Canis lupus familiaris: one gene and its partners. The protein of the gene in region 2 purifies or fractionates together with the protein of the main gene of each other region. This does not show direct contact. Links are inferred from orthologs where the notes say so. Each region holds a gene or a part of one and is shown on either strand. Other genes may lie near its edges. The genes, in order: SAP30, ARID4A and BRMS1.

Region 1 (11,262 bases), on a different chromosome or scaffold from region 2:
AATCTAGGAAAGCTCATTTTACACGAGTTTCCAACTAATTATTAGAGTCAGAAACAAAGAAAATAAAACCAGAGAAAATCCTCTGTAAAAAAATACACAAGGAACATTTCTACATGTGAAAAAACAGTAAACAGTCTTAACATCTGAACATCCAAGTCTTAGTCTCAATTCCACCTCTCCTAGTGAACACCACTATCAACCTTGAGATCTGATTTGTTCTTGTCATTCTTCACTGAGTAGATGAAATATGTTAAGGTGTCTTTTTCATTCACTGGAATAGACCTAAAGTGGCAACCAACTATCTAAAAAAACAAAACAAACAAACAAAAAATTGAAATTGAAATTAAATTATAGATATTAACAGTTATTATACTAGGTAAAAAACACTTTTATCAAAAGAAAAAGTGCTATAAGAGCTATTTCCTTTAAATAATAAACTATTTACAAAATACCAACAAGATGAAAAGCATATAATTAAGATATTACGAACAAGAGAGAGGGTGATTTCACAGGACCCTCCAACCTACTCAATTAAAAAGACATTAGAATGTGTTATTTCCTTTTATTTATTTAAATTTTATAACTAGAATCTATATTAAAAAGTAAATATTTTAAAACTTTAAATATGAATGAAATAAAACAAAATCTAGACCCTACTCACAGGAAAAGGATAAATAAATATTTAAGTTGAAAAACTGTTGGTACTGTAGAAACAAACCATAGAATATCTTACAAATATATTTGCTACAATTTATATTCATTCATTCATTGGCAGTACTCTCTGTTAAGGTTCCTTGAAAGTTTGTCTGAATAAATATGGATAGAAAATGCGAGGAAAGAGAGACATTCGCTGAAGAATGTTTATCTGCTTTCTGGCTTTTTCTTTATGCTAATCTAACACTACAAAACCAAGAGAAGTACAATGGACTAAACAGGGGTATTGATATGCCTATCTAGAATGTAAAGACAAAAAAAGTCTTAATGAAAATGTTATTCATACGATAATTAAGAGATTTAAGGAAGACAGTTACCTAACTCTGGAATCATTCCTAAGTGAACTATTAACATTCATGGCCATTTGGATTTTTTTCTCATTTCTAAAGAAGAAAGTAACTCTAGAAATAATATAACTTTTTAAATATCAGATTATCAAATATTTCAGGTGTGACTAGTATACTTAAAAAATATGTATTACTGACCCTGTACAACACAGGTTTGAACTGTGAGGGTCCACTTACACACTTTTTTTTCAATAAATACAGTATTGTAGATGTATTTTCTCTTTCATACGATTTTCTTAACATTTTCTTTTCCTTAGCCTACTTTATTGAGATTACAGTAAGAATAACTATAACACATATGACATATAAAATATGCTAACAGACTATGTTATTAAAAAAGCTTCCAATCAATAATAGGCTATGAGTAAGTAGTTAAGTTTTTGGGGAGTCAAAAGTTATATGCAGATTTTTGACTATGCCCCTAGTCAAAAATGCATTGTTCAAGAGTCAATTGTACTTCATATGTAACATTTAAAATAATCAGTTTTTGAGTTCACATTTGTCCCAAAACAAAGGTACCTTCCACTTGATTAGTATCTGTATATATATAGATACAGTTTCATCACAGTAAATACCCATGTTTATCTTTTATTAATATACTATACAATCCAAAAAGGGCTATATTTTTTAAATCAAATTTAAAGAAAAACTGAATTTTTGTTGCTTGGGCAAGAAGGAAAGAGGAAATTCTGGCTAAAAAGTCAGTATATTATATCTTAACGATGTTAAAAAAGCATTCTGCCAAAGAATTGTACCTTCTGTATCTTTTACCTTATTCGATATGCGCATTTTAAAAAACACTGCATTACTAAACACAAGCTGAAAAATATGAGAAAACTGACTTATATATTTACATTTCTATTCTGTTGAGTAGATTAAGTATTTTTACTTAAAATGATTAAAGTACAAATACATAAATCTGTAAATGCCTTGATTCACAGATTTCTTGGTTCTTTATTAACTCCTGAAAACACACATATTTCAAAATTTACAAAAAGACTAAAAGTTTTATATCAAAGCAAACTAAATAAAACCTTGGATAAAAGTCTTTGCATCTGGGGTGCCTATGTGGTGGAGCTAATGAAATGTATCCCTTCAGCTCAGGTCATGATACCAGAGTCCCGAGTCCCTCTCACTGAGCTGCCATCAGGCTCCCGGCTCAGCAGGAAGTCTGTGTCTCCTCCCTTTGCTCTTCTCCCTGCTCATGCTCTCTCTCTCAGATCTCTCTCAAGTAAATAAATAAACTCTTAAAAAAAAAAAAAAAACTTTGCATCTTCCAGATGTGAAGGCATAGATGCCTCTAATAAAACAAGCTAACATCACCAAAGACAAATTCTGAAATCGTTAAATCAACAAGTTATAGGAATACTATTTATGGGCTAATCTGTAGACCTAATCCATCAAAAACTCAAAAAATTTATAATAAAGACAACAAAGCTTATCAATTTCTTTTATTATGCCTCAATAAGGTATTCAAAAAATGCTTCCTGAGTGGAATTTTAAAACCAACAGATTTCTAGAATGAGAATTTAAAAATTATTACCCGCTATTTCTGAAAGCCAGTATTAAAAGATATTTAGAAAGCTACATACAATCCACTGAGTGGTTGTTACATAAAGCAATTTAAGAGACAGACAAACATTTCTAGGAAACTAGATTCTTCCACAATAGATTTTTTATTAACTGATCTTTCTAACTGAGCTGTATTGTTATACGTACTACATTAACAATTTCATTAGCCTTTAATAACTTTTTTATATAAACAGGCTCATTTAAAACTTCATAAATACCTCAACAAGTTGTGCTTTATTAAGTCCTGGTCTGGTTGATAGTTTGAAGTGTCTTTTGTATCTCCGAAGTGTATTTACTTGTAATTGGTATAAATCAACCTAGAAAAAATAAACATGTAAGAATTAGTTCATGCAATTTTTAAATTGTTATCTTTGATATGCATAATAGCATTTCAATTTTGGTACAACAAAAATGTAATTAAGTAACAAAAATTACATTATTTAATTAATTCCATTCCATTACTTCTTTTACATAATCAAAACTACAAATATATAGAGCACTTCAATCTTTTGAAGGTAAATACTGAGAACTGGGAGCAAAAAAAGAAGGCAATAGAGGTATAAGCATTGTGAATTGAAAACATAAGTCAAACTACAACTGCCTATTAATTGGCTATATTTAATTTTGCTTTCATTTTCAGATTTTTCGCATTAAGTATTTTTAAAATTTGTTCCTATCTTTTAATAGAAGTTTCAGAATGGAATACTTAGGATTTACATTTAACATACAGAAACTTTACCTCTGGCGTATCGATATCTTGAACAGGTGAATCTCCTCCATCATCATCACTCCCTTTTCTCTTTCTTCTGTTTCGAACACTCTGAATTAAGTTTTTATGATAATCACAAATGTAAAGATGCCTTGCCTAAAACAAAAAAGTTTCACAGACTACTTATTATTATGTAACGTGTCTACGTATTAGTAAAATACATAGGGCACAGTGAATTATTAAAAATAAAAAGTCAAAATAGGCCATTGTTAAGACAACAGCATATTTCTATGCTTAAGTCCTGTATTCAGTTAGAACATACCGTGTCTGACAATAGGGTTAAGAGGATTGGAGAGTGGGGTGGGGAGGAGTGAAAGGAAGGAAGGAAGGGAAGCAGACAAGCAGAATGAGAAATTGCAATTGTCTGGATTTTTTAATTAAACTGTAGTGAGGGTGAATTAGATTTGTTAGGTCACGCTGTTTTTTTAATAAGTGGAAAGATGATGTTGCCCACAATTCTGCTACTGACAGTATTTTCTCTAAAGAGCACATTTTAGTAGCTTCATATCCTTTCTCAGTACTCAAATTATAATCCAGATACAAAACTATCCATTTTTACAAACGAGCTACCGATTTCATATACTACTTATATTTACATCTGAATTACAAGCTTCTGAGTATTTAATGAATGTATTTGTCTGTATTACGTTTTTTTCAACCAAAGGCAATGTGAAACTATTCAAGTTTACTTGAGAAGTGTCTCCCAAGCATGACTGAAGAACTCTTTAACAGGCATAATAGATCACAAACTTTGCAAAAGCTTCAATTAAATGTAGTCTTGAGCGCTGTATGGTAACATCTGAAATACTGGGCTGCATTATTAACAGTTTAAACTCCTTTAAAAAACAACAACAACAAGCGATTAAAGACTAAGGCTTTGAAATTTAACTTGTAAACGAAGTCCAAGTTAAAATTATGCAGGGCGTATGCTAGGTTCTGGCATCTTGTTATCCATTCACCGCCAGCCAAAACTCCGCAAAGTGCCAATGGTTGTTTCTGAAAACCTCACAGATGGTCAAAGAAACACAAGAAACGGACGTGTACAACAAGGACGGTAAAGGAAATCCGGATGCTGCCGAAGGGGTGGCAGCGCCGCAGAGGCAGCGGGCTCCCCACATTCCCGGCAGCTGCGCTGGATGCTGGCGGCGTCCACCAGCCCGGCGGTCTGCACCGCGCGGGGTGAGCTCGGCTCTCTTCCCTCCGCAACCCGGCGGACGAGCAGAGGAGTCGGTCTCCACCGCGGCACCAGGGCCTCGCTTGCAGGACTACACTTTTGCCTACAGCCGGGGGTTGCTCCCCGGGGCCACGCGCCAGCTTGGGCAGCAAAACAAAGGAGGAGCGGACAGGCTGCAAGAAAACTACTCCGGGCCCTCCGAGCCGCGGTGCTCTTTGTTTCGTGTCCCGACCTCAGGGAAGGAGGAAGGGGTTGGACGGCGAGCAGGGCGGACACCCGGAACGGGGTGGGGGTGCGCGGGGGTTGGGTAGGAAGGGTGGGGGTGGGCACGCGAGGGAGAGGAGGCGGGGGGGGGGCGGGGGGAGCAGCGGACCCGCGGCCGGCTGGCGTGGGTCTGCGGGGGAGGCGGTCCGAGTTGCGGCGACTTTGTGGTTCGCGTCCTACCCGAGACCACGCGACGGGCTCGCGCCACAGCCAGGTCTAGGGGACCCCCGAACCGTCCGCCCCTGAACCCCGGTCGGCACCGCTCCGGGAGCCCCAGAGCAGGGCAGGGCATGGCCGTCCCGCCGTCACTCACGCTCTTCTCCAGCTCGATTTTCACCTTCTTCTGGGAGATGCTCTTCTGGATCCTCTTGCTGAAGCTGGCGTTGCCCGCCGCCCGGCCGCACCGCTCTCCGTCCTCCCGCAGGCAGCACAGCTGTCCGGGGCCCGGCCCGGCCGCCCCCGGGGGCCCAGCAGCCGACACCGCCCCGGCACCCGGCACCTCAGCCCCGGCGCCGGCCCCTGCCCCGTTCCCGGCCGAGGCGGCCGCGGCGGCGGCGGCGACCACGGCGGCCACTGCGGCGGCCGCGTCCCCGCCGCGGCTCATCTCCTCAGGCGTGAAGCCATTCATGTCTCCGCGTGCCGACAGAAACCCCCGCTCGGCTCGCCGCTCCCCCTCTCTGCGGAGACTCCGGGGTCTCCGCGGGGTCCCTCAGACACCTGACCCCGCCGGGGCGATTCCTCCAGCGGCACCGCCACACACCAGGCGTCCCGGTCTGCTGTTGTCCGCTGGCGCCGGGATGGGGGACAGCGTTTGGGGTCAGAAGCCAGAACCGGGCGGCGCCAGGAGTTAGGACTCCGGTCACTGTCACATGGAGACGCTTCAGCAGTTGGACCCTGGCGCCTCCGCCTCCCTCCGGCCCCCCGACCTGCGCACGCGCGACGAGCCCTCTCCTGCCCCGCCCCTTCCACTGTGTGGCAGGGCACCATGGGAATTGTAGTTCTTTGAGGGGGAATCACTCTGAGTTCCACCCCGAACTGGGCGCCTTGGAACTACTTATGCTAGCATGCATCGCGCGGCGACGGGCAGGGCTTCGGCTGCTAATTTATTTATTTATTTATTTTAAGTCAGTGGGAAAACAGGGGCGTGTGGTTAGGGGTGGTGATGTTTTCTCGCTTCTAGTCTCTCCCAGGAAGTTGCTCCGTCTTTCGCTACCGGGATTCTGCAGTGTTGGCGTTCTACTAGACAAAGCGGCCACCCCGCTCCTGAGGCGAGGCGCAAAATGTTCTGGGCGGGAAGCTAGGAGGGAAGGTGCGGCGTGAAAAAGTTTCGGGGCCGTTTTCTTACTGTGGAAAAAGAATTTTTGGTGTGGCCATGCTTTTGTGGGACACCCAAACCAAGGAGAACTCGGGGAAGCTGGCGCTCTTCGGGTCCGGGAGATGCCGCAGGTCCCGGGTCACAGTTCCATTCATTGACACACCAGCTGAGGCAAAAACGCCCTTCCGACCTCGACCGTGACAGGGCCGCTTCCCAAGTGCCTCAGCTGAAGGCCGTTTTTAAATCCTTGCACGTTCCTGCGAAGATCGGGTTTCATTTTGGGGCGATCAAAGTTGGCCGCTTCCTGCGGTGGAGCGGCTTCTTTCCGCCTCCACCCCCACCCAACCTTCACCGTTTCTCTTCTAAAGGCCCTAGAGAAAAGTGGGATCCAGGACCCTGTCCAGGGGGACGTGGAGCCCCGATATAGTTAGCGTGAGTGCTCCTCGGAAACTTCCCGGCGTTCTCTCTGCGGAGTGAAAGGCCAGAAAGAACCCGCATTTCCTGGGGTATCCGCCCGCGCCTGTGCGTGTAGAGTGCGTGCGTGCGTGTGTGTGTGTGTGTATCCGCCCGCGCCTGTGCGTGTAGAGTGCGTGAGTGCGCGTGCGTGCCCGTGGGCGCGTGCTTGTAGGGGGCGGGGCCGGGGAATGGAGCGGCTGATAGGAGCGCGTGCGCCTTTGCCGGTTGCTGCGCGTCACTGTGACTGTATCGGATGTGTCCTGTTTAGCCGTCCTTTGGCTTAAATAAAAATACGAACCAGGTTCTTTTGCAAGTTCTTTCAGGCTTGCTGAGTGAATTTAGTGATAGATGATTTTTTAAAAAAACCTAAATGTCATCTGCCCTGAAATTCAAAGCCATCCATTCCGTCTGTGCTTTTCAGTTCTAGGCTATGGCAAAGGGAAAAACAAAAAACAAAAACAAAAACAAAACGTTAAGATATTATTACGTAAATTGAATGAGCAAAAGGAAGATGCTGCATGGTAAGTATGTTGTGTTACCCTTTTTATTTTTTAAGATTTTATTTCTTCGTGAGAAACAGAGAGAGAGAGAGGCAAAGACACAGGCAGAGGGAGAAGCAGGTTCCCTGCAGGGAGCCCCATGCGGGACTCCATCCTAGGACGCTGAGATCGTGACCTGAGCCCAAGGTAGATGCTTAACCACTGAGCCACCCAGGTGCGTCTTGTGTTTTGTTTTTTAAGCTGCACTCTCCAGTAGGGTGTCTGATAGCCCAATGTGCCTATTGAAAGCTTGAAATGTGGTTATTTCTACTGAAAAACTGTTAATTTAACTTTAAATTTAAAAAACAGATTTCAGTTATTGTAAAGACTTCAAGTGTGTTTGGAACAGCTTAGATACATGAATACATTTTTTTTTCTATCTAAATTTTGTGAAATCTAAACTTAGAACCCAAGTTGAGATGTGCTGCAAGTAAGAACTGCTGACAGGATTTCAAAGACTTAGTACTAGAAGTTTTTAAAAAACTATAATGAATGGCTCATTGATACTTTTTATATTGATTATATGTTGAAATGATAATATTTTGAATTTACTGGTTTAAATGAAATATAACATTAAAGTTTACCTGTTGTTTTAAATGTGGCTACAAGAACGTTTAAATGTTTACATATGTGGTTCACATATTTTTGTTAGATAATGCTGGCTTAATCTTTTAAACAGAATACTAGTATCTGTTGTTTGTGCATGTATTTTCTTAAGTGGTGAAAAAGGAGAACATATGGACAGGATGGATACAGTCCAACTTCAGGGTGGGGTTCCTATCTCAGGAGAGAGGCCAAGGAATTGTATCTGGGAATGGTTTAAAGGTGGAGTCCGTTGTATTTGTAGGTTTTTATTTATTAGGAAAATCTGAAACAAATGTAGTATTAGGATGTTGGACTTCCATATTTTTTGTGCTTTTGTTTGTTTTTAAAATAACTCATAATACTGTTTGGTCCTTGCTCTTAAAAGTTTATAATGTATCTTTTACAAAATATGAACAAATTACTTCATGTATATGTTAATGGTTTAGCAAGGTATCCATTTCATATGAATTTTACTAAAGTGACAAATTGTGGCTAGGCTTCCTGTACACAAAATACAGTATTTTAAAAGATCCAATTAAACATGTATTGCTTACTAGGATTTTTTCTAGGCCTTAGGATATAAAAATAATTGAAACAGAGTCCTAGCCATTTTGGGGCTCACTGTCTGGTAGAGTAGCTTCACAAGCACACAATACAGGCTGCCAAAGACTGAATGTTTATGTCCTCCCTCCTAAAATTCAAATGTTGAATGTGATGGTATTCTGAGGTAGCGTCTTTGGAGGGTGATTAGGTCATGAGGTAGAGAGGTACTGAATAGGATTACTGCCTTCATAAAAGAGGCTTCTGAGAGCTCCCTCACTCCTTTTGCCATGTGAGGACCAAGTGAGAAGACAGTAGTTTATGAACTAGCAGGATGACTCACCAGATATAAACCTGCCAATGCCTTGGTCTTGAACTTCCCAGCATCTAGAACTGTGAGAAATAAATTTCTGTTGTTTTTAAACTACCTAGTCTATGGTGTTTTGTTTTGTTGAAGATTTTATTCATTCATGAGAGACACACAGAGAGCAGCAGAGACATAGGCAGAGGGAGAAGCAGGCTACCTGCAGGGAGCCCAATGGGGAACTCGACCCCAGGACCCCAGGATCATGCCCTGAGCCAAAGGCAGATGCTCAACTGCTGAGCCATCCAGGCATTCCTATGGTGTTCTATTATAGCAAACAGACTAAAATGCATGCCTCAATAACATTAGAGAAAAAGTACAGATTTAGTGCACAAGAGGCAATGATTCACCTCTGGCAAATAGAAGGCATTTCTGTTGCAGGTGAACTGAAAATTTTCAATGCCTGATGTAAAGTATATCTTCAGTGAATCTATTGTTCAGACAGAAATTTTCCTAGCAACCATAGTTCGTTTGTTTCTACACATCTTCGTATTCAGGGCAGGTAGGAATTCCTTCCTTTAAGTGTAATTCATAGCCTATGTTGGAATCAGACTTTGGGGAGCTTTAAACATATAATTTGTGGAGTCTCCCTTAAGAAAAAGTATTTAAAATTTAAATACAAAATTAGGCACAAGCATTTAAAAGGGCCTGTCCGAAAAAAAAAAATAATAAATAAAAATGAAAGGGCCTGTCCAAGTGAGGGACTCTGAACCTTAAATCCATTAAATTCATGGTAATCCTACCTCAGAGTAGATGATATGGAAATACAGATTTATGAAACTTAAGTTATAGAGAGGTTGTTAATATCATTAAAATATTTGCTTTCTGAAATGGTTGTAACATGATTCTTTAATTTTTTTTTCCCTTTACCTGCCCATTACAACAAGGTTTTTATATTCATTTATATCCGGTCTTTACCTAAGTAAGAGAGTGAAAACTTCTCAATATTAAAGGAGCTACATTTTGGTGACTCTATAACCTCCTGTAGAATCTCCTAGGGCCACCTTGGAGAAACAGATACTGAAGTTTTCAGTTTTGTAATGATCCGTAATCCTTTGTAGGCACATGCCTTGAAACCTTCTGAGATGTTGGTATGTTGGTTGGCTGGTTGGTTGGTTGGTTTGGCTGGCTGGCTGGCTGGCTGGCAGTTCTCTTGTTTGTTCATTCGTTCATTGATTTTCAACAGATTCCCAGAAAATCAAACCCTAAATAGAGTCTCTTGACTAATTAATGTAGTTTACCTGCTATGTAAAGTCACATGAGAAGCATTGTCAAACAACAATGATAAGCCCTTTTATATTATATTGGATGCATGAATGCTGTCGCTGTTCCAAAAATGAAATGAAATTCCTAAAGTTGTAACATGTCCTGGTACAGTGCCATCACTCAACATTTGAAATGTTAAAATGCTGTGTGTTACAAAAAATAATCAAAGTTTCTTACCGACTGCATTATAAGGAACTCTCATCAGGTCTTTAACCGTTTTGACTGCCCTGTCATTTATAGGTATTGATTCTTTATTATTTATTTATTTATTTATTTATTTATTTATTTATTTATTTATTTTGTATTGATTCTTTAAGAAGTAGTTTTCCCTGCCTTCTTTCCCTCTGGAGCTTTTAACATGATTGAATTTTCCTGGTTTTACTTTGAAATAAATCATTAAATAATTTAATTTGTAAAAATGTACAAATTGACCCATAATCCTAACATGAACATGATTAGGAAATTCAAATAATGCAAAAGGTTCAATATGCAAAAAGTCTGTTTCCTTTTATCTTCTCAAATCCCTGTCCCTAAAAGCAACCAGTGTTAACAATTTCTTGTGTTTCTTGCTAGAAAAAAAATTATATATTTCAGTATATACATCTCTCTATGTAATTCTATTATATTATAGTTTTATTTTTTTTAAATACTTATTTATTCATGAGAGAGGAGAGAGAGAGAGAGGCAGAGACACAGGCAGAGGGAGAAGCAGGCTCCATGCAGGGAGTCTGATGTAGAACTCGATCCCGGGACTCCAGGGACTCCAGGATCACACCCTGGGCCAAAGGCAGGGGCTAAACCACTGAGCCACCCAGGGATCCCCTTATTATAGTTTATACCATGCTTAATTTTACCTAGTTTAAAATAAAGCAAATATACAAAAAGTACATAAGACATAAATGTCCAGTGTCAGTAGTTATGGAAAAACAAACATCTGTATTACTACTACCCAAGTCCAGGAAAAAGAAAACAAAACAAACAATACAACCACATTAGAACCTTTTGGGATTTTTGGTTGACATTGTATTGAATCCACACATTAACCTAGGAGAGAATAGATATCTTTACATAATGAACATGATATATTCATGTTTTTCTAATCCATGAACATGATATATTTTTCAATTCATTCAGATCTTTAATGTCTCATAACAGAATTTTGTCATTTTGCAAGAGTTTTGCATATCTTTTATTAGACTTGATATTTCACGTGTACTTGATATTTCTGATACCATTGTAAATGGAATCATTTTAATATTCCATTTTTTGCCAATATGTAGAAATCAAGCTAATTTTTCCCCAAAATAATGCTTAAATTCAGCAAACTTTCCTATTAATCAAGTTTTCTACTCACAAT
Region 2 (10,638 bases):
TGTTTGCTTTTATTTTCCACATATAATGAAATCATACAGTATTTATCTTTGTTAGACTTATTTCACTTGGCATTATTTTATCACACTTTTAATATTTCTTGACTACACTGAAAGTTCTAAAATAATTAAGTATCAATGATGCAAGTTAACAATAATTTAAAAATAAATCAGCCTCCTAAATTATGGGCTCTTTAAAAGTTCTATGATGTCTAATCTACCATTTTTAAGATAAAATTTACATTATCACTGTATTTCTGTGTGACTACATTTTAAAAGGACTGAATAGGGGTGCATGGGTGGCTCAGTCGGTTGGGTGTCTGACTTTTGATTTCAGGTCGGGTCATGATCTCAGGGTTGTGAGACTGAGCCCCACGTCCAGTTCTACACTGGGTGTAGAGCCTACTTGAGATACTCTCTCCCTTTCCTTCTGCCTACCTCCCAACCCCAGCATTCTTGCTCTCTCTCTAAAAAAAATAAAAATAAATTTTAAAAATAAAAGGACTAAAATGCATCCATGGCCAACAGGTGAGCTGATTTCTTTGAATAAGTATTTGGAGCTCACTGGGCTGGTAGTAATTTGTTCTTCCCCAGAAGCTTTCATTTAGCCTCTTGTATGCTCAACTGACTGTGAAACTGTTGAGCCATTTCATTCTCTCCTAAATTCTCCTTCAGGTCCACCGCTACACACTGGCAGTTTCCCTCTACTTGGAATAAAGTGAGGATAGAAAAGGGGCCAACAAATAAAATCTTTAAAAAAGGGAGGGGGGGAAATCCCTGGGTAGCTCAGAGGTTTAGTGCATGCCTTTGGCCCAGAGTATGATCCTGGAGTCCCAGGATTGAGTCCTGCATCAGGCTCCCTACATGGAGCCTGCTTCTCCCTCTGCCTGTGTCTCTGCCTCTCTCTCTCTCTCTCTCTCTCTCTCTCTGTGTTTCTCATGAGTAAATAAATAAAATCTTTAAAAATAAAAAAGGGGGGACCAACAACTTAGAGAGTACTAAAATAACAACTAGTATTTCAGTATAACAAATGTTTTCCCTAGTTCCTATGTGCTATTTAAACTTGAAAAAAATAAAAAAATAAAAAAAATAAACTTGAAAGTTAGGGACCCCTGGGTGGCTCAGGGCTTAAGCGTGTCTGCCTTCCACTCAGGGTGAGATCCCAGAGTCCCAGGATCAAGTCCCACATCAGGCTCCCTGCATGGAACCTGCTTCTCCCTCTGCCTGTGTCTCTGCCTCTCTCTCTTTTTCTCTCTGTCCGTCCCTCACGAGTAAATAAAATCTTTAAAAAATAAAAAAATAAACTTCAAAGTTAGAAAAAAAGTGTATTTTTCTTTTCACAAAGAACTAGAATGTAAATTCCATGAGGGCAGAGATGGTCTTATATACTTCTATATCCTATGCACAGAGCAACTTTTCTTTAAATACGTGTAGGTAAATGAATGAAAACAACTGCTATCTATCAGACTTTAGACCTATATACCTTTTTCTTAAGTTACTTATTTAAGTAATCTCAAAACGTGGGGCTTGAACTCACACCCCTGAGATCAAGAGTCACATACTCTTCTGACTGAGCCAGCCAGGTGCCCTAGAAATCCCATTCTTAGAAGTCTTCCCTCTATATTCAGACCAATGAGGAGGAATTTTTACAAGTATATTTATTACAGCACTTTTTGTAATCATAAAAAATTGGAGAAAATTTTAAGGAAGGTGAATTTATGGTATATGTATATTATGTAGTACTCTGAAGATAATTTACAAAAGATGAGGAACATCTTTAATGACAGGAAAGTATGTCCAAAATACATATAATGGGAGACAATCAGTCTTAGGAAGGAATATTCAGTTTTAAAAAGGAAGGAAATTGTGACACATACACAGGAATGAACCTGAGAGACATTATACTGAGTGAAATAAGCCAGTCAAAAAAGGACAAAGCTGTAAGATTCCATATATATGAGGTACCTAGAGTAGTCAAATTCAAAGAGACAAAGTAGAATGGTTTTGCCACAATCTTGGGTAGAGGGGAATGGGGAGTTATTGTTTAATGGCTAGTTTCAGTTTTGCAAGATGAAAAAGGTACTGGCAAGGGACAGTGGTGATGAGTGCAAAACACTGGGAATATAGTTAATGCCACAGAACTGATGCTTAAAAATGGTTAAGAGGATACATAGTATGTGTATTTACCACAATTTTTTAAAATTAAAAATTAAAAAGAAATGAAGCAAACCAATTTGAATGTTTCATGAAATTCATTGGAAGATTCCATTTACTGGATGATGGTCAAAATGGACAGTTTTAAAAAAATGGTTTCTGAGCAACTAAAAGAGGTAATTTCATTTCTTCTTTGACTAAACATGATTTCACTAAAAAATAAGATGTAACAGGGGCACCTGGGTGACTCAGTTGGCAAAGTGTCTGCCTTCAGCTCAGGTCATGGTCCTGGAGTCCCAGGATTGAGCTCTGCATCAGGCTCCCTGCTCAGCAGGGCATCTTCTTCTGCCCATCCCCTCTGTTCCCTCTCTCTCTCTCTCACTCTCTCTTTCAAATAAATACATAAAAACTTAAAAAAAAAAAAAGATGTAACAGTAAATGAATGCCATTGATAGTGTGAAAAAATTTTTTCTCCTAAAATTTGATAAATCCTACCATGTAGACATCATTCAACAATGATCAAAAACAATGGATGACAATCTCTACAAAGGAATTATATACTAAGGGAGACTTTTAGTAAGACTTGAAGGAAGTAAATATGTGAGACTGACCACAGATGAGAATGATCTGAACAGACATAAATAGAAAACAACAGGAGGAATGGTATTTTAGGTAGAAGAAAGAAGATGTGCTATATCTAGAAAAAAATAGCCAGGCTAGTCTGCCTAATGCACAACTCAATACTGGAAAATAAACTAGGTTCACTGGCTTATTTTTGTGTGGATCTGAAAATGTCCATAATAAAAATTTAATGTTTAAAATAAACCAGGTAAAACTAATATTAAGTACTTACTCTTGGAGATTTTAATTCTATTTCTTCTCTTTCACTTTCACTGTTTGAATCAATATTTTCCTCAGGTTCACTCTTCACTTCCACTAAAGGCATTTCTTGATCTACTTTTAAAGCCTCTTCCATTGATTCTTCTAAGTCTTTTTTTTCTTCTTTTACTTTTGGTTCATGGTGGTGGACAGTTCTGAACTGAATATTTGCAGAACGGCAGTACTCCTCAAAACCATAGAGATACCTAAACAAACAGTTTCATTTTAAGAAATCTTTGTCTTTACATTTAACTTAAATACTATATTATTAAACACACATATTTTTATAAAGTAATACTCGAGACTTTTTTTAAAGTACTTTTTCTATTACTAGTTTCTCAGTGCTTTATACAGGATTATAAACAGAAATACTGATCATAAAATTTCTTCCTGAAAAAGCTATAATAGTTTTGATATGAAGGCTATTCAACATAAGTAATATAACTCTATAAACATGTATCATCGTTTCATACTATTAACGTACCACATCCCAGACTTTGAAAAGGAAATCAAGACAACACGAGAAATGGAATAAAGTAGACTTGGTGTGATGAAATAACGTTCAGTCACTAATATCTATTAACCTAAAACTTTTTATATACTTTCTCTAACTAAATGTTCCTTGATGTGTTTTTGTTTAATTGTTAACAAATTAAATGGAAAATATTCCTGTAATATGTATTCTTTGATGAATAAACTATACTACTTACTTTCTATAAGCAGTTTTTACATTGTAGGAAGCAGCTGAATTCAAAATAGGAATGCCAAGGTCCATATAAATTTGCTTCCATACAGCACCACTATCAATCTGGAAAATTAAGTTTTTATTTGTTAACATTTACAAAAGGAAATAATCTTTACACTAATATTCTAGGTTCATTAAGAAAATGTGTTTATCACCTACAGTGCATATAACTGCAACATAGATAATTTAACTTTTCATTATATCTATACTTACATTGTCACATCCACCTTGATGATAAACCAGTCTAAAGAGTTTGAAGAGATTGAGATCTTTATAGCCCAACACAGGTGGTTTGTTGATTGGAGTACCTTTTTAACATGAAAGTAGGATAAATATTTTTATTTAAGTGGAAAATGCTATTACAAGGCTATCGATACAAAACTTTCCAATTTCTAATTTCCCAAGTTTTATTAATCAGAAGCATATATTTAAAGAACCTTAAATTATGTAAGACAACACAAAATATTCTCTATATTCTTTATACAGCACTATGATGGTCTTTAGATTTATTTTTTATTTATTTATTATTTTTTTAATTTTTATTTATTTATGATAGTCACAGAGAGAGAGAGAGAGAGGCAGAGACATAGGCAGAGGGAGAAGCAGGCTCCATGCACCGGGAGCCCGATGTGGGATTCGATCCCGGGTCTCCAGGATCGCGCCCTGGGCCAAAGGCAGGCGCCAAACCGCTGCGCCACCCAGGGATCCCTGCGCCACCCAGGGATCCCATGCGCCACCCAGGGATCCCGGTCTTTAGATTTATATCTATGACTCATCATGTCTCTCACAACTAATAAAATCACCTGTGACTGAATTAGGTACAACTAAGACTTACAACTGCAAGGTGCAGCCAACAATGCTTCTGGTTCAAGAAGCCTGGGCAAGAACATACACAATGGAAAGGGTACAATTTAGGGCATGGATTCATTTTCATTGCTTGAACACAAATGTTAAGAGTGTTAGCAGTAATCTGAAGGATGATGTCTCAAAGTCACAGAATGCCTAGGACCAGTTTATTGGAGGATTTTCCAGAACTAATGTAATGTCAAAAGGAATAATTTATAAAGGCTGTATTTCAATTTAAGTCTATTAAAAACCCTATTCAATTTAGGTAAGAATTGGTCTATTTTGTTTCATTTGTTGAGACCGAGGATCAGGCTAGTTTACTTGCTGCAAAGATAGCATTAATAACTAATGGGTATGTGGATTATATTATGACTGTTCACCTTCCATCACTGAAATATTATTATATTTTTTGGTTTTAGAAGTCCCAAGTAGACTAAGTATAATTATACCCATACAACCTATGTATTTTCTGCTCAAAATAGATATTAACAGTTTTTTAATTCCAAATACTTATTCCAACTCTAACTGATCCTTAGGCTTTACTTGAAATCCAAATCCATATACCCATGATTCTAACAAAAATAATTCATGAACCTAGAATGTAAAGTTGTAAAAGAAATGACTGCTTTTAAATAATGACCATCAAATACATACCTCTGTCTTCCATAAACTTATAAAGCTGTTGGAGGAAGTTGTCCCTCTCTTCAGGATCAAGTTCTTCCTCAGGCTGTAAAGGCAAAATGCATAAATACTTAGACCAGTGAATAGGGTGAGATATATAGTCTTTTTTAATTCATATTTTGTTGTTGTTTTATGAACCCAACATAAAGGAATTTTTAACAAAGCTGGAAAATATGAATTTCCTCCAAACTCTACAATGCTAGACTTTAAGTCATATTTTTTATAGTGTTGATTTGATACAACTGTCAAGATACACAATCTTTACCCTTCACTCATCTATGACTCCAACCCTACCCTTGAATATCAACATAGGGATTAAGACTAGCCATGAGGAAAAGGTTCAGGAATCCAGTAAGAACATTTTCACCTCATTTGGTTTAGTTTTAAAAAAAAAAAAATACATCAAAGTACCATGTGGCCCACACAAATGTATTGATAGATAAGCACAATAATTACAAACATATTTATTATTTAAAAATAACCCACAGGGCAGCCCCAGTGGCGCAGCGGTTTAGCGCCGCCTGCAGCCCATGGCGTGATACTGGAGACCCGAGATCAAGTCCCATGTCAGGCTCTTTGCGTGGTGCCTGCTTCTCTCTCTGCCTGTGTCTCTGCCTCTCTCTCTCTGTGCCTCTATGAATAAAGTCTTTAAAAAAATAAAAAATAAATAAAAATAAAAATAACCACATACAAATGTTCTAATTTGTTATTGTTGAATGAAGACAAACTAGAGGTTCCAAAGTCACATGGCAGAAGTTTTTTGTTTTGAGAACACAGCAGTTTAAAGAAATTTATATATATTTAAATGATTCATAGAATTTTATTTTGTCTCAGGCCCACCATCCCTTCTTCTATCACATTAGCCTGCTTTTCTCATTTGCCCTTCTTGCATGGCCTCTGTAAATAAGACTTTGCAACCCCTGAAAATAAGAAAATGAAAATTATTTAAGGAAGGAAACTAGATAAATAACCACAAATTGGTTCCTGGGTGTAGGGAAACAATGGAAACATTCATGTAAAAAAAATAAATAAATAAATAAACTATTCCTACAAATACCTATTTAAGTGTTACTTTTTACTAATTATATAAATCTAATGATCTCTTCTTATAATGTCAAAGTCTTAGCTGCAGTTAAATATATTATGGGTTTTAATAAAATATTCCCTGCCCTGATAGACTACTTATAAACCAATGTTTGGGAAAATTCTTATTTAAAATTTAGCAAAATTATGGAGAAATAAACAAAACACTAATATCTTTCATCCATATAAATTATTATAATTTCAGAGTACTGCTTTTCTACATTCTAAAAGAACAATTAGATTTGTCTTTCAAAGGGCAGCCCTGGTGGCACAGTGGTTTAGCGCTGCCTGCAGCCCAGGGTGTGATCCTGGAGACCCGGGATCGAATCCCATGTCAGGCTCCCTGCATGGAGCCTGCTTCTCCCTCTGCCTGTGTCTCTGCCTCTCTCTCTCTGTGTGTGTATCTCTCATGAATAAATAAATATTAAAAAAAAAATCTTAAAAAAAAAACCATTAAAAAAAAATAGATTCGTCTTTCAAAGCCATAATCAAAGCAAAGCAACCACCAGCCAATAAATATTGAGTATTCACCATCTAGAGGGCAACAGGTCCTTTAAAATTATGTATTCTTTAAGAATTTTAATCACTAAAACATAGCAGCCAGAATCCATGAACATGAAGTTGATTAAAATATATAATAAAAAAACCAAAAGGCAATCAAAGAGAATAAAATCTTTTAATACATTCATTCAGAATGATTTAATAGCATTAGAGTACTGTGAGTTTTAACAAATGTAAAGAAACTAAGTCAAAGTTCTAAGCCTCACAACTTAGCAATATAGAGTGAATAATCAGTGTAGGGTTAATAGGGATCATTACTAAATGTTCCAATCAAAAGATGGCAGTTTTTTGGGATGCCTAGGTGGCTCAGTGGTTAAGTGTCTGCCTTTGGCTCAGGGCGTGATCCTGGAGTCCCAGGGTTGAGTCCCACATCAGCCTCCCTGCAGGAAGCCTGCTTCTCCCTCTGCCTATGTCTCTGCCTCTGTGTGTGTGTGTCTCATGAATAAATAAAATCCTTAAAAAAAAAAAAAAAAGATGGCAGTTTTTCCCCATGTGAATTTAAAAAGCCTTGCCTTTGCAAGGTAATTAGAACTGCCAATGAGTTAACTCAAAAAAAAAAAAAAAAAAAAAAAAAAAAAAAGTCCAGTAACCCAAAAATTATTTTTAAAGACTTCTAAGTATGGGAAAAAAACCCCAAAACACCTTCTGCTAGACTGCGCCTATGCTTTGCTTATCCCTCATGTTCCTCATAATCACAATATTTTCTCCTTAGACCGACACCTCATTTCCAGTATTTATGATCTTGCAGAATTCAAATAAGACCATTATCCAGTATATGTAAAAAGTATTTTTTCAAAAGGCACTGACTTAAAAAAATAAATAAATAAATAAATAGATAGATAAATAAATAAATAAAAAAAAGGCACTGACTTGAAATCAAATTTTCTTCCAAAAACAAGTAAACAAAATAAACCCATCAACTGCAAATTAGGTATTTATTACAGTTGTACCAAACATTTCATAAATTCTTACTAAAAATAGTTTTAATACATAAAAGTTGGTATTTTAAATACATTTGATTTAAAAGTTAGTGGATGTCCAGGCACCTGGTGGCTCAGCCGGTTAAGCATTCAACTCCTGATTTTGGCTCCGGTCACAATCTCAGATTCCCAGAATCAAGCCCCTTGTTGGGCTCTGCACTCAGTGGAGAATCTACTTGAGATTTTCTCTCTCCCTCTCCCCTCATTCTGCCCCACCCAGCCCCATGCTCAAACACATTTGCGCACTCTCACTCTCTCTCCAATAAATAAATAGATAAATTTTCAAAAATAAAATAAAAGTTAGGTAATGTCCAACAGTGTAGTAAGTTCCATGAGAAATTATGGCCATAAAATTCTATGTTCAGGTGCAGTTATCAAGTATAAAAACAAGACATAAATGAATAAAGAATTCTCCTTATTAAACAAATACCTGCTTGAGGAGAAATTTACACAAGAAAAAAGATGAGGCTAGAAACACAGTTTAAATTTACCTGATAGTCTTTACAAAAATTAAAATTGCTTAATTTCTTTTTAATTGAATTTTATTTAATTAAAATAAATAAAATTCAATTAACATATATTATTTGTTTCACAAGTAGAGGTAATTCATCAGTCTTATATAATAGCCAGTGTTCATTACATCACATGTCCTCAATGTCCATCATCCAGTTATGCCATTCCCCCATCACTCCCCTCCAACAACTGTTTGTTTCTCATGATTAAGTCTCTTATGGTTTGTCTCCCTCTCTGATTTTGTCTTATTTTTTCCTCCCTTCCCCTATGATCCTCTGTTTTGTTTTTTAAATTCCACATGAGTGAGATCATATGATATTTGTCTTTCTCTTATTTCGCTTAGGATATCCTCTAGTTCCATCCACGTCCTTGCAAAAGGCAAGATGCCATTTTCTGATGGCTGAGTAGCAGCCCATTGTATATGTATACCACATCTTCTTTATCCATTCATCTATCGATGGACATCTGGGCTCTTTCCATAGTTTGGCTATCGTGGACATTGCTACTATAAACATTGGGGTGCAGGTGCCCCTTCGGATCACTATATTTGTATCTTTGGGATAAATACCCAGCAGTTTAACTGCTGGGTCATAGGGTAGTTCAATTTTCAACTTTTTGAGGAACCTCACTGTTTTCAACAGTGGCTGCACCAGCTTTCATTCCCACCAGGAGTGTAAGATAGTTCCCCTTTCTCCACATCCTTGCTAATATCTTTCCTTTCCTGATGTGTTAATTTAAGCCATTCTGACTGGTGTGAGGTGGTATCTCGTTGTGGTTTTGATTTGTATCTCCCTGATGCTGAGTGATGTTGAGCATTTTTTCATGTGTCTGTTGGCCATTTGTATGTCTTCTTTGGAGGAATGTCTGCTCGTCTTCTGCCCATTTCTTGACTGGATTATTTGTTCTTTGTTCTTTTATTTGAGTTTCATAAATTCTTTTTTATTTATTTATTTATTTTATTTATTTTATTTTTTTTTATGATAGTCACAGAGAGAGAGAGAGAGAGGGGCAGAGACATAGGCAGAGGGAGAAGCAGGCTCCATGCACCGGGAGCCCGACATGTGGGATTTGATCCCGGGTCTCCAAGATCGCGCCCTGGGCCAAAGGCAGGCACTAAACCGCTGCGCCACCCAGGGATCCCGAGTTTCATAAATTCTTATAGATTTTTGGATACTGGTTCTTTATCTGATATATCATTTGCAAATATCTTCTCCCATTCTGTCAGTTGTCTTTCAGTTCTTTGACTGTTTCTTTTGTTATGCAAAAGCTTTTTTATCTTGATGAAGTCCCAATGGTTCATTTTTGCCTTTGGGGAGGAGTCTAGTAAGAAGTTGCTGGGGCCATGGTCACAAAGGTTGCTGCCTGTGTTCTCTCTAGGATTTTGATGGACTCCTGTCTCACATTTAGGTCTTTAATCCATTTTGAGTCTCTTTTTGTGCATGATGTGAGGAAATGGTCCAGTTTCATTCTTCTGCATGTGTCTGTCCAATTTTCCCAACACCATTTGTTGGAGACTGTCTTTTCTCATTGGATATTCTTTCCTGCTTTGTCGAAGATGAGTTGACTATAGAGTTGAGGGTCCCTTTCTAGGTTCTCTATTCTGTTCGATTGATAACACGTGTCTGTGTTTGTGCCAGTACTATACTGTCTTGATGATTACAGCTTTGTAATACAGCTTGAAGTCCAGAATTTTGATGCCACCAGTCTTGTTTTCTTTTCAACATTCCTTTGGTTATTCAGCGTCTTTTCTGGTTCCATACAAATTTTAGAATTACTTGTTCCAACTCTGTGAAGTAAGTTGATGGTAGTTTGATAAGGGATTGCGTTGAATGTATAGATTCCTCTAGGTAGCAGAAACATAAAATTGTTTAATTTCTTACAATATGTAATTCTTCACAATCTTTTTTTTGCAAACAGCTGTGCTGTTAGTCACCTTGGATTAAAACTGCATATGCTAGCAAATGCCTCCAACTAGATGAATCTGCCTTTATGGCTTTTGTATGGGGGCTCATATTTGCTCAGGGTGTGCTTTCTCTGTTCGTAGACTTTTTTAAAAGCAAAGTTCTCTCTCTCTCTCTCTCTCTCTTAAAGATTTATTTATTTATGTATTCTCTGTGCCCATTGTGGGGTTCAAATTCACAATCCTAAAATTAAGAGCTGCATGCTATACTAACTGAGCCAGCCAGGCGCCCTTATTCA
Region 3 (9,651 bases), on a different chromosome or scaffold from region 2:
CCAATTGGGGCCTCGGGGAGGTTTGGGGAGTTGTGCCCAAATGAGGGAAAGGCACTGACTCAGGCCTTGCATCCACGTGCCTTCCTTTCCTTCTTGGCCTCGGCTTGTCCATCTGTGCAATGGGTAGCAGAAGAGCCCTTACCAATGCCCAGATGGGAGATGGCTTCCAGTTCCTTGTGGGTGGCTGCCTGGCAGATGGCTCTGGGGAGCTGCAGTGGGAGGAGGAGGATGTCTCTGAGGCCAGAGAGAGAAACAGAAAGCCAGGGGTGAGGGATGCTCAGGGCACTGGGGGCTGACAGAACCTGCAGAGGTTGGGAGGACAGGATGTCCCAGGGACCTGGGACCAACGGACACCAGGCACCCTGCAGCCAGGCTTACCGGGTATGGCAGTAGGCGCAGATGAGCTGGACCAGGTCTGGGAACATGAGTTCTGAGCCCTCCAAGGAGACGCCTGAGGGACGGGAAGTGCGGTTGTTCTCCAGAAAACACCCCTGTGCCCGGCCCGGACTGCTTCCAGCCCCTTCCCCCCAGGCCAGTCCTGCTCACCCCCAGGGCTCTCCTGGATGTAGTGGCTAGAGACAAAGGAGGGGCCACTGGCCTCGGGCAGCCGCACGCACAGGGCCTGGCACCCGCGAGTGTTAGATTTCCGCACAAGGAACATCTGCAAGGGACAGGGGTCGGAGGCTCGGGACCTCGGTGTCCAGCCTTCCCCCCCCCCGCCGCCCCGCCTCCGTCGGCTAGTCCCAGGATCAGGGGCCAGACTCACCCCCGGGGGCTCGGTCCTCAGCACATGCAGAGCAGCCGCCGCGCTGGCCCGCAGCTGCAGCCACACGGGCCGCGTGAGCAGCAAGCGCTCCCGCAGGCTCACGGTGCGCCCGGGCCGCTGGGGCCCAACTGTCTGCCACCCACCGGCCCCGGGCACGTCATACAGTGGGTCCTGGGCTGGCCTAAAGGGCGGGCACCAGATCTGAGCAGGGGCCCAGGGGGTGGGACCCTTGCCCAACCCTTTCCCCCCACCTCTGCCCTGGGACAGACCCTGCTCTGCCATCCCTCCCTGTCCCACGGGGCTGCCCTTCCAACTTCACTAACTTTTCTCTCTCCGGGTGCCCAGGTGTGAAGTTGGAGAGGCTGGGGGCTCCAAGAGGTCCAGCCCCTGGCTCCCCAGGGGTTTCCATGGCTGGGAGCTCCTTTGGTTTCTCCCGGTTTCTCCCAGGACTCAGGAAGAGAATCCAGCCCCCAAGGCAAGAGCGCTCACATTCCCAGCAGTGAGTAACACTTCCTGAGGGCGGTTCGCCCTGTCACGCCCCGCCAGTTAACTCTTGTGTGTCCCCTTAGCCCGGGCAGTGCCCGCTTCCTCCGTGTTCAGGCCCAGCCTCAGGGAGCAAGGGTCCTCTCCGTGCAGTGCCACTCCACGAGCCCCGGCTGTGGGGCTGCCACCTCCACACAGCGCATCCTGAAGCCTCGCCAGCCTCCTCGAGGCACACGAGCAGGCGGGAAGGGGTTAAGCTGGGCCCATCTGGGTCCCACAGGCCCAAGTTTGCCCATGGGGCACCTTTAATTAAGTTTGTGGTCAACTGCTCATTTGTGTGCCCTCCCCGCCCCCCGTCAGCCCAGTGGGAGGGCACCCCCTACTGGTCACAGATGACTCATTCTCGAGCCTAACTTGGGTTTTGGATTTTCGGTTGCCATGGAGAAAGGATGCTGTGTCTCCTTGGAAACTAACCCCTTTGCTTAACTGAGGTTCTGGGGGTGGTTCTAACACTTGGCGCTAAATGGGATGGGGGTGGGGGAGTTTGGTTGTGAGGTCGTCAGCACATGGTGCTGCTGCCAGCTGCCTCCTACACTCCCAGGCCCCGCCAGCCTGCCTTACCAATCTGCCAAGTGACTGGGGCAGGTGCAGACATGACCCAGGCTCCAAGCACAGAGCACACAACCCTCCCCACCCCCGACACATGATCGGCCTGTGCCACATGTTGCTTCAGACTTTGCTCACTCCCCCACCTCTGGGAGGTGTGCTGGGAGGGCCCCCCCCATACCCCAACTCAGAGTAGGTGGGCTCCTGCCAGGTAGAGAGAGGAGGTACCAGGGACTCCAGGAGAGCCCACCTGACTCAGGCACTCCCCAGGGGAGCCCTGATTCCCTCGCAAAGTAAATCAGACACACACAGGTCATGCTAGGGTCCCAGGGAAGGTTTTAATTCCAGTCCCTGAAATCTGGGAGACATCAAGAACCTCCTTGAGAAGACCTGGGGAGCCTGCCTTCTCATCTCCAACAACGGCCAGGAGAGACAGGCCCCCCCAAAATATAATTTCTGGTTCAAAGTTCCCAGGAAGTGGGGCCCAGCTCACTAGCTCAGTGACTAGTCCAAGGTCAGCAGGAAGAATGTTGCTTTGGCTTAAGAGGAGCCACATCTTCTTTGTCTGGGATGGTGAGGAGAAGGCTGATCTCGTGGGGGTGGGGGGGTGGGCTCACTGGGGACAGGGAAGACAGTCTTGTCTGGTTAAGGCAGCTCTGGGCCACACAGTGTGCAGGCCCCGAGGAGGGCAGAGGAGTCCAGACCAGTGATAGCTGGAGGGGAAGGCCATGCAGCAGCACTGGGAAGCTGGCCGGACAGACCCCGAGGGGCTTGTCAATCTGCCTTCCTACAGCAGGAAAACGCAAATCCTGGGTTTGCTGCCAGCTGCTCCAAGGGGGCCCTTGGCTCTGAAGAGCAGGGTCATGGTCCTAGAGGGACACCAGAAGGGGAAAAAGCACCGCAAGTAAGAAGCTGAACCAAGAGGGGAACACCAGTGCCTATGGGGTGCTGAGAGGAACAGCCTTGGTCTGGCCCAGGGCAGCTCTACAGCCCTCACCCCTGGGCTCACCAGGGCCACCCCGCTGCTGGGGCCTAGCATTCCAGCCCTCCCTGACTAGTCCTGGTTGCAGGGAGCTTCATCCCCTAGCCCCACCCCGGCTCCGTTTCCCCAAACCCCCAAAGTGCCCTCAAACCCAAACCATTCTAACTGGGGCCACAGAGCTGACATAACCACTGACTCTTTCTGGGTTTCCTTCCAGGAGGCTGGGCTGGGGGAGGTGGTGGCAGGAGGCAGAACAGCTCCTGTGGTTCTTACCATCTGCTTTTCTCTTCTGAGGGGACACAGCTGCCCTAGCCTGGGGGGGTAAGAAGAAAAGCCCCCCTTGAGAGCCTGCCTCCAACTTGGCAAGTAGCCTCCTCCACATCAGCTTCTCTGGGGCGGGGGCGCTGCTGGGTCAGTGCAGCATCAAGATGCGTGGGGAGCATAAGCCCCTTTCTGGGCAAAGCTCTGACATGGTCTCCTGACAGATGCCAAGCCAGGCCAGGCCAGGGCAGCCCAGCCGCCTTCCCTCTCACCCTCCCTCCCTCCCTCCCTCCCGTCCCATCAAAACCTGCCCTGGAAGGAGGAAGGGAATGACAGATTAAAAGGTCCCTCCTGCAGGGAAGCCTCAGGCAAAAGGGGACTTGTGTGGGGTGCACCTGGGTGGCTCAGTCGGTTAGGTGTCTGACTTTTGATTTCATTTCAGCTCATGATCTCAGGGTCGTGAGATCAAGCCCCACATCAGGCTCTGTGCTCAGCACAGCACCTGCTCAGGATTCTCTCTCCCCCTCTCCCTCTGCCCTCCCACCCCTGTGCCACTTGCATGCACGTGTGCACTTTCTCTCCCTCTCTAAAAACAAATGGGTGTGTGTGGGGGAGCTTGTGAGCTGACAGCAAAGCTAAGGAACCTGGGCAGAAGGCAGGAGGTGCTGAGGGCTGAGCAGAGCTCCCAGGCCCTCAGGAAGCCCGTGTGTGGTGAGGCCGCAGGGACCAAAGCTTTCAGGGATGGGGACCTGTCCCAGGGAAGCAGGTGGCACTGGCCCCACCTTTTTGATGGCTGTCCAGTCCTCTAGGATGTCGATCTCCTGCAGCATATACACGATGTAAGGACCTGCAATGGGGGGTCAAGGAAGCAGGAAGCCCAGTGGAGAGGGCAGGTGACAGGCCTCCCGCTTGGGAGCTCCAAAACTTGGGGGAGGCAGTGTGGGGAGGCCAGGAGGCTGAGGACCCTGGTTAGAGCTCAGGTTCTGCCTCCTGCCTCTTGGATCCCAGGTTCTTGGGGCAGGGCCTACGGCCTCATGAGTCCGTGAAGCGTACTGAGCCTCACCCCCTACCTCCCCTTAGTTCCTCCTCACTCCTCCCTCCAGTTTAAAGGTCAGTAGGTCAAAACCCAGGTCCCCCACTAGGGGACCTTGATCCCTCTATTCCCTGTCCCTTTAGTATCCCTTCATCTGGCCCCTTCTACACAGACTTCACAGTCTCTTCCATTCTAGAGACGACCCTCCTTTGGTCTCCCACTCCCTTCCAGAGTGGGAGGGTCTGCTCTGTCCTCTTGGGCTCTGTACCTGATGCCTCCACACCCTGACCTCCTGTTCAACCCACAAGTCCTCAAGGCCCAGACTCCTCCCTCCCTGCCTGCCCTGACTGCCATCACTGGGCGGCCAGTGTCCTGGGAGCCTGAAGGCTGCAGGAGTACCCGGGGGTGCAGGTGGAGGGCATGTGGATCCTGCTCCCATCTGTGGTGGGCTCTGCCAGGGAGGATGAGGGCTCAGCAAGCCCTGGGCTAAAGTGGCTCATGCCTAATGTGAGGCTGGGCAACTACTGTGTGGGATGTGGGTACCCCCAGCTTAGGCCACAGGGTTGCAGAGGACAGAGAAGCCATAGCTATTGGGGGGAAACCAGGAGAGGCTTCACAGAGGAGATAACAGGCACAGAGAGGCAGCAAGGCATTCCAAGAAGAGGGTGGGAAGTGAGAGAAGGCGGGGTGACGTGGTGTTGGTAGGAAAATCTAGGACCTGTTGGGAATATTGTGGGAAAGCCAAAAGAACCTCAAAGGAGACTTCCCTCAGGAAGTTATGGGGAGTCACTAAATGGATACTTCTGTTTCTCTATCCAGCCCAGGAGAGACCCAGGGCCTCACAGGAAATTCCTGACAGTTGGATTTGCCTGGACATGGCCACATGATGCCAAATGACCATAAACTGCCATAAATGACTGCCTTCCGTGTCCCCCCACCCCCTCCCTTGGTTTGGAGCTAACCCTGCTGTCCTGCCCAGGTCAGGCCGCCGTGGGTGGAAGGATACCAGAAACGAGAGGTGCCTTCTTCCTCTTGCTGGGTGGCAGGGAGTCCCAGGTCTTTGCGCTGCTTCTGGCGTGCAGTTTGTCATCCCACCACTCTGTGCCCCCAGACCCAGAGTCAGGATCAAAGAGCTGGCCATCCCTGGACACCCCACCCTTGTAGCTGTGTCCATCACGTGAGCCAGACCAGCCCCTACCCCTCCTCTCCCTCCCAGGCCAGTGGAGAGCACCCTGGGCCAGGGGCTTGGAAGCTGAGGCCAAGGCTAGATGGCAGAGCCATGCAACCCTGGGGAAGAGGTCACTGTACTTCTGTGAGCCTGGTTCCTTCATCTGTTTAGTGGGCAGTGTGACAATGACAATTCTGGCCTCCCTGGGATGCCATGTGAACACAGGCGCTGTGGACACGGAGGGAACTGTGGCTATTGTATGTGTGGGTGTGTCAGAATGACACCTCCTGTTCTGGAAAGAGAGCAGGGGCCAAGGAGGGCAGGGGGACCGTTCTTTCTGAGCCTCCTCTGTGCACCAGGCACTGGGCTGTGTCCTTTCTGTGCCTGGTTCCATTTAGGCCCCAGAGTGACACCATGAAGCAGGCTCTCCTACATGCTCCCTGTGTAGGCAGAGCAGCAGGTGGTGTGGGAGGGCAGGATGGGGGGTGGGTGGGAGGGGTGGGGGCATGGCTAGAACAGTGCCTAGTGCAGCCTCACCAGAGCTGATGTCCAGACTCTGGCGGTCCTCTTCCAGCCTCTGGATCCGCTCTTGCAGCTCCCCCTGCAGCGTGTCATAGAGCAGCAGCTTCTCGCTCTGGAAAGGGTGAAGGTGCTCAGCAGGGTGGCAGGGACAAGCCACCTTCCGTTCACCTCCCCCAGCCCAGCCCGCAGTCACATTCACCTCCAGGTGCTGTTTGGCTCCCTGCAGCTCACATTCGTACTTATTCCGGATCACGTCCAGACAGAAGCCCTTGTAGATCCCTGTAGAGGGAGGGAGATGGGAAGCCCTGCTTGGCCAGGGTCTCATGTGTCCAAAAGGGGGAGCCAGGAGCAGAGCTGGGCAGGAATGAGGAAAGAAGGGAACAGACAGCCATGGGCTCTGGCAGAGGAAGATGCGAGGAGGCCTGGGGTCACCCCAGAGCACAGGACAGCCCACAGACCTGCCACCTGAATGCGGATCTTGAGGCTCCGCTGCAGTCCCCCCAGAGGCTCTGTGTATTCAGGTGCTCTCTCAGCCCCCACTTCCTCCAGCCGCACCCTCAGCTGACTCAGCCGTTCCCTGAACAACCTGGGAGGGAAAAGGCAGCACATGTTTGTTCATCAGACACGTGGCTAAGCGCCTGCTCCATGGCAGGTCCCATGTGTCAGGCCCTTGGCTACCCCTGCCCAGCACCAGGCCCGCTGCCTCCTCACCCCAGGGGGCCTAAAGACCCAGCCCTAGACGCCCCGCGCTCACTTCTCCTTGAGCTCCGAGAACTGTTTCTCCAGGTCCAGCATCTCATTGACGCACTCGCTGCGACGCCGCTCATAGTCCTCGTCGTCCATCTCTGGGACAAGAGGCCAGTCAGCTCTGGCTGAGGAAAAGCGGGCGGACGCTTGTGTGCACATGTTGGGGGCTCACCTGAGCTCTCTTCCTCCGATTCAGTCTGGCTGCCGCTCCGCTCCTCCTCGCTCTCTTCCTCCTCCCCATTCATCTCAGCGGCCGAATCACCCTCTGCTTCCATCTCTTCTGTGTCTTTGCTTGGAGGCTGGATGGGCATCTGGGCTCTGGGAGGAGGGGAGCCATCACTTATCATCACCCTCAGTTCTGAGTGAGAAAGTGACCGTGTGGGGAGTCAAACCAAGCCCTGCCCAAATATCTCCCAGAAGCCTGGGAGCCACAGAAACGCTCACAATCTTGGACATTGTTGGTGATCCCAATCTGGGGAATGCTGGCCAAGGTGATGGTCCAGAAGCTGGGAAACACCAAGGATGGATTCCCCACTGCCTCTGGGACTGGGCCCGCACTCGTGGCTGGGGTGTTTAAGGGCCTGCACAGACTGGACTTGAAGTACTGAGCCAGCTCCTTTACCCCACCATCCTTAAGTGCGCCATGCCTTCATACTCCCCACCCCGTCCATTGATCCTTTCAGCTGGAATGCCATCCACTTCTCATCCTGAGAACACTCTGCAATCCTCATTTTCTCGCTGTGTTCTGGATCAACGCCTATGTCCTTCTGCTTTCTCTGGAGCCTCATATTACCAGTACCCCCATCTTCACTGTTTCTCCAATCCTTCCTCTTGACAGCTTCTACCCATGAAATTTTAGATGTGTTCGGGTATTGTCTCCCATTTAGAAATAGCAGAACACAAAACCTCGCCCTATTCCACTTAACCACTCCCCATTTCCTACCTCACAGCTACCTTTCCCAAGGCTCTGGCTGTTCCTACTCTTTCACTAACCAGAGGTTCCATTCCATATCTCTATGATTGCCCTCAGCTGAAGTGAATTCTGTGGCATCAACCGATGTCCACCTTGTGTCCAATGCCAGTATTTTTTAGTGCTTATCTTCGTTGACTTCTCAGGAACAATGAACACTATTAATCATTCTTTATTTACTCATCTAAGATTTATTGAAGACCTAATATATGCCAGGTACTGTCAGATGCTATGGTCAGATGCTGGGCACGATGGAGCAGACAGACACAGTCTCTGATCTCAAGGAGTTTGTAGGTTCCTGGGAGACAGGCAATAAGCAGACCGTACTGTGGTATGAGAACGGTTAAGACTGGAGGACATATGGGAGAGGCATCTCACTGGAACCTGGAGCTTGCTCCAACAGTGAGGGCTTGCAGAGGAAGATCCTTGCTGCAGCAATAGGGAGGACTTGCAGACAGATGAGCTGAGATGGCTGGAGAGGGAACATTCCAAGCAGAGTGAATAGCATGGGCAAAGACTCTAGAATGAGGGAAGGGGCAGAGGTGGGGGTACATGAGTCTAAGCCTCAGAGAGAAATCTGGGGTGCAGAGATCTGGTCATCGGCATATAGTGAGTGCTTCAGGCCTTGGGAGAAGGCACAACCAGCAAGGCAAAATGTGTGGAGTGAGAAGAGGTCCAAGATAGAACTCCCAGGGCCACCAAAGGGCCAGGTGATGAAAGCCCTGCAAAGGAGAAGGAAATTAGCAAGAAACAGAGGAAGAGAAGCACAGTCATGGGGAGAAAGAATTTCAGAAGGAAGTACGATCATAGTGCCAAATGCTGCCAAGAGATCAATTATGAGGAAGACTAAACAGTCCACCCAACAGTTAATCTCTACCTACTGAAGGCTTCGATTTCACTGTGATGTTCTTCCAACTTCTCTGAGCAGGGTACTGTAGTCCTTTAGATGGATATAGACACCACTCCCTCCAGGAAGCTCTACTTGTTTACATCTCCTCTCTATTTGCCGTTTTCACGTCTGTCTATCCAATCAGGCTGTAAGCCTTACCAGGATGGGGATGCACATGCACCTCGTTCACCCAGCACAGTACTTACTTCACTTCACAACTGGTGGATATGCAAATACAAATTAAACAAAGCACACTTTTTCAGGGCAGCTTTTACTTCTTGATTGCCCCAGGACCCTGTAGTGGTAGCAAACCCAAAGTATTCTGTTAACTTTCCTTGACACACTGGGACGCCTGGGTGGCTCAGGAGTTGAGTCGGCCTTTGGCTCTGGGCGTGGTCCTGGGATCCGGGAGTCCCGCATAAATTTTCCCTGCGGGGAGCCCTTGACACAATTTGAGTTGTGTATAATTAACTGTCTCGCGGCTCAGTTTAGTCTCATTCTTCAATGATTTCACAAGTGAACCTGAGCCGAAAACCTCAGTTCTCCAAACCAACCTCATCTTTCCCATTCTTAAGCAGGAACTGAGTTCCTGCAGTTCCCAAACTTCGCAATTCCTCTTCATTGTAAAATTATATATATTTCCTTTGTCTCCAGCTGTCTCTGATTCTACTGAGGGAGCAACATTAAATCACAACCTCCCCTCCTTACCCCAGGTGCAAAAAGAGGCTAACCAAGAGGATAACCATTGCTACTCTGAGCGTTCTAAAGATTGCAAGGCGTAGGGGATGGAAAAGCAAAGTATAAGGCGCTGTACACACACAATTTATATTTTTAGAAAGTGAGCATTTCGGGGCGGACCTCCACGGAAGGCCGATTCTTGTCCTTGGAGAGAGCCCACCCAGACCCCTGCGCGGCGCGGGGCGCCAGGACCCTCCCGCTCCGTTCCATTCCCGTCTGCGCCGGCGCCGCGGGCGGGGGAGTCACTGCCTCTTCGGCGGCCAACAGCGGCCCCGCGGCGCCGCACGCGTCCGGCCGGTTAGGTCTCCGCTTCGGCCCTGATTGGCCCAGCTCCGACCGACTGGCCAGAGAGGCCGAACCAGGTGCCCTGAGGAGCGTTACGCACCGTGGGGAGGGGGCCTCCAGCTTGACTTCTGAAACTCCCTGAGAGGTGCCCGCGGCTGCCGGGCTCCCGGAAACGACGCGCCAGTCCCTCTACTCCGGGAG

What was found.
Region 1: the proteins of ARID4A (region 2) and SAP30 purify together in Homo sapiens (affinity purification with mass spectrometry; 5 studies listed by BioGRID and IntAct, with this or other methods). This does not show direct contact. The link is inferred for Canis lupus familiaris from reciprocal best matches to the Homo sapiens genes ARID4A and SAP30.
Region 3: the proteins of ARID4A (region 2) and BRMS1 purify together in Homo sapiens (affinity purification with western blotting; 3 studies listed by BioGRID and IntAct, with this or other methods). This does not show direct contact. The link is inferred for Canis lupus familiaris from reciprocal best matches to the Homo sapiens genes ARID4A and BRMS1.

Annotation. Positions count from the first base shown.
Region 1 is NC_049246.1:24,116,047-24,127,308, reverse strand, and holds the start of SAP30 (histone deacetylase complex subunit SAP30), read right to left. Parts: upstream 5,783-11,262; 5' UTR 5,469-5,782; coding exon 5,154-5,468; intron 3,499-5,153; coding exon 3,373-3,498; intron 2,951-3,372; coding exon 2,852-2,950; intron 303-2,851; coding exon 180-302; 3' UTR 1-179. UniProt on the Homo sapiens protein: Involved in the functional recruitment of the Sin3-histone deacetylase complex (HDAC) to a specific subset of N-CoR corepressor complexes. Capable of transcription repression by N-CoR.
Region 2 is NC_049229.1:33,993,017-34,003,654, reverse strand, and holds part of ARID4A (AT-rich interactive domain-containing protein 4A), read right to left. Parts: intron 5,349-10,638; coding exon 5,276-5,348; intron 4,084-5,275; coding exon 3,989-4,083; intron 3,839-3,988; coding exon 3,741-3,838; intron 3,237-3,740; coding exon 3,005-3,236; intron 1-3,004.
Region 3 is NC_049239.1:51,470,272-51,479,922, reverse strand, and holds the end of BRMS1 (breast cancer metastasis-suppressor 1), read right to left. Parts: 5' UTR 9,551-9,651; intron 6,927-9,550; 5' UTR 6,916-6,926; coding exon 6,741-6,915; intron 6,667-6,740; coding exon 6,576-6,666; intron 6,408-6,575; coding exon 6,280-6,407; intron 6,101-6,279; coding exon 6,021-6,100; intron 5,934-6,020; coding exon 5,837-5,933; intron 5,231-5,836; coding exon 5,138-5,230; intron 3,946-5,137; coding exon 3,881-3,945; intron 3,151-3,880; coding exon 3,111-3,150; intron 2,725-3,110; coding exon 2,717-2,724; 3' UTR 2,175-2,716; downstream 1-2,174. Other genes in the region: RIN1 (ras and Rab interactor 1), read right to left, coding at 143-234, 379-451, 547-661, 767-947, 1,090-1,175. UniProt on the Homo sapiens protein: Transcriptional repressor. Down-regulates transcription activation by NF-kappa-B by promoting the deacetylation of RELA at 'Lys-310'. Promotes HDAC1 binding to promoter regions.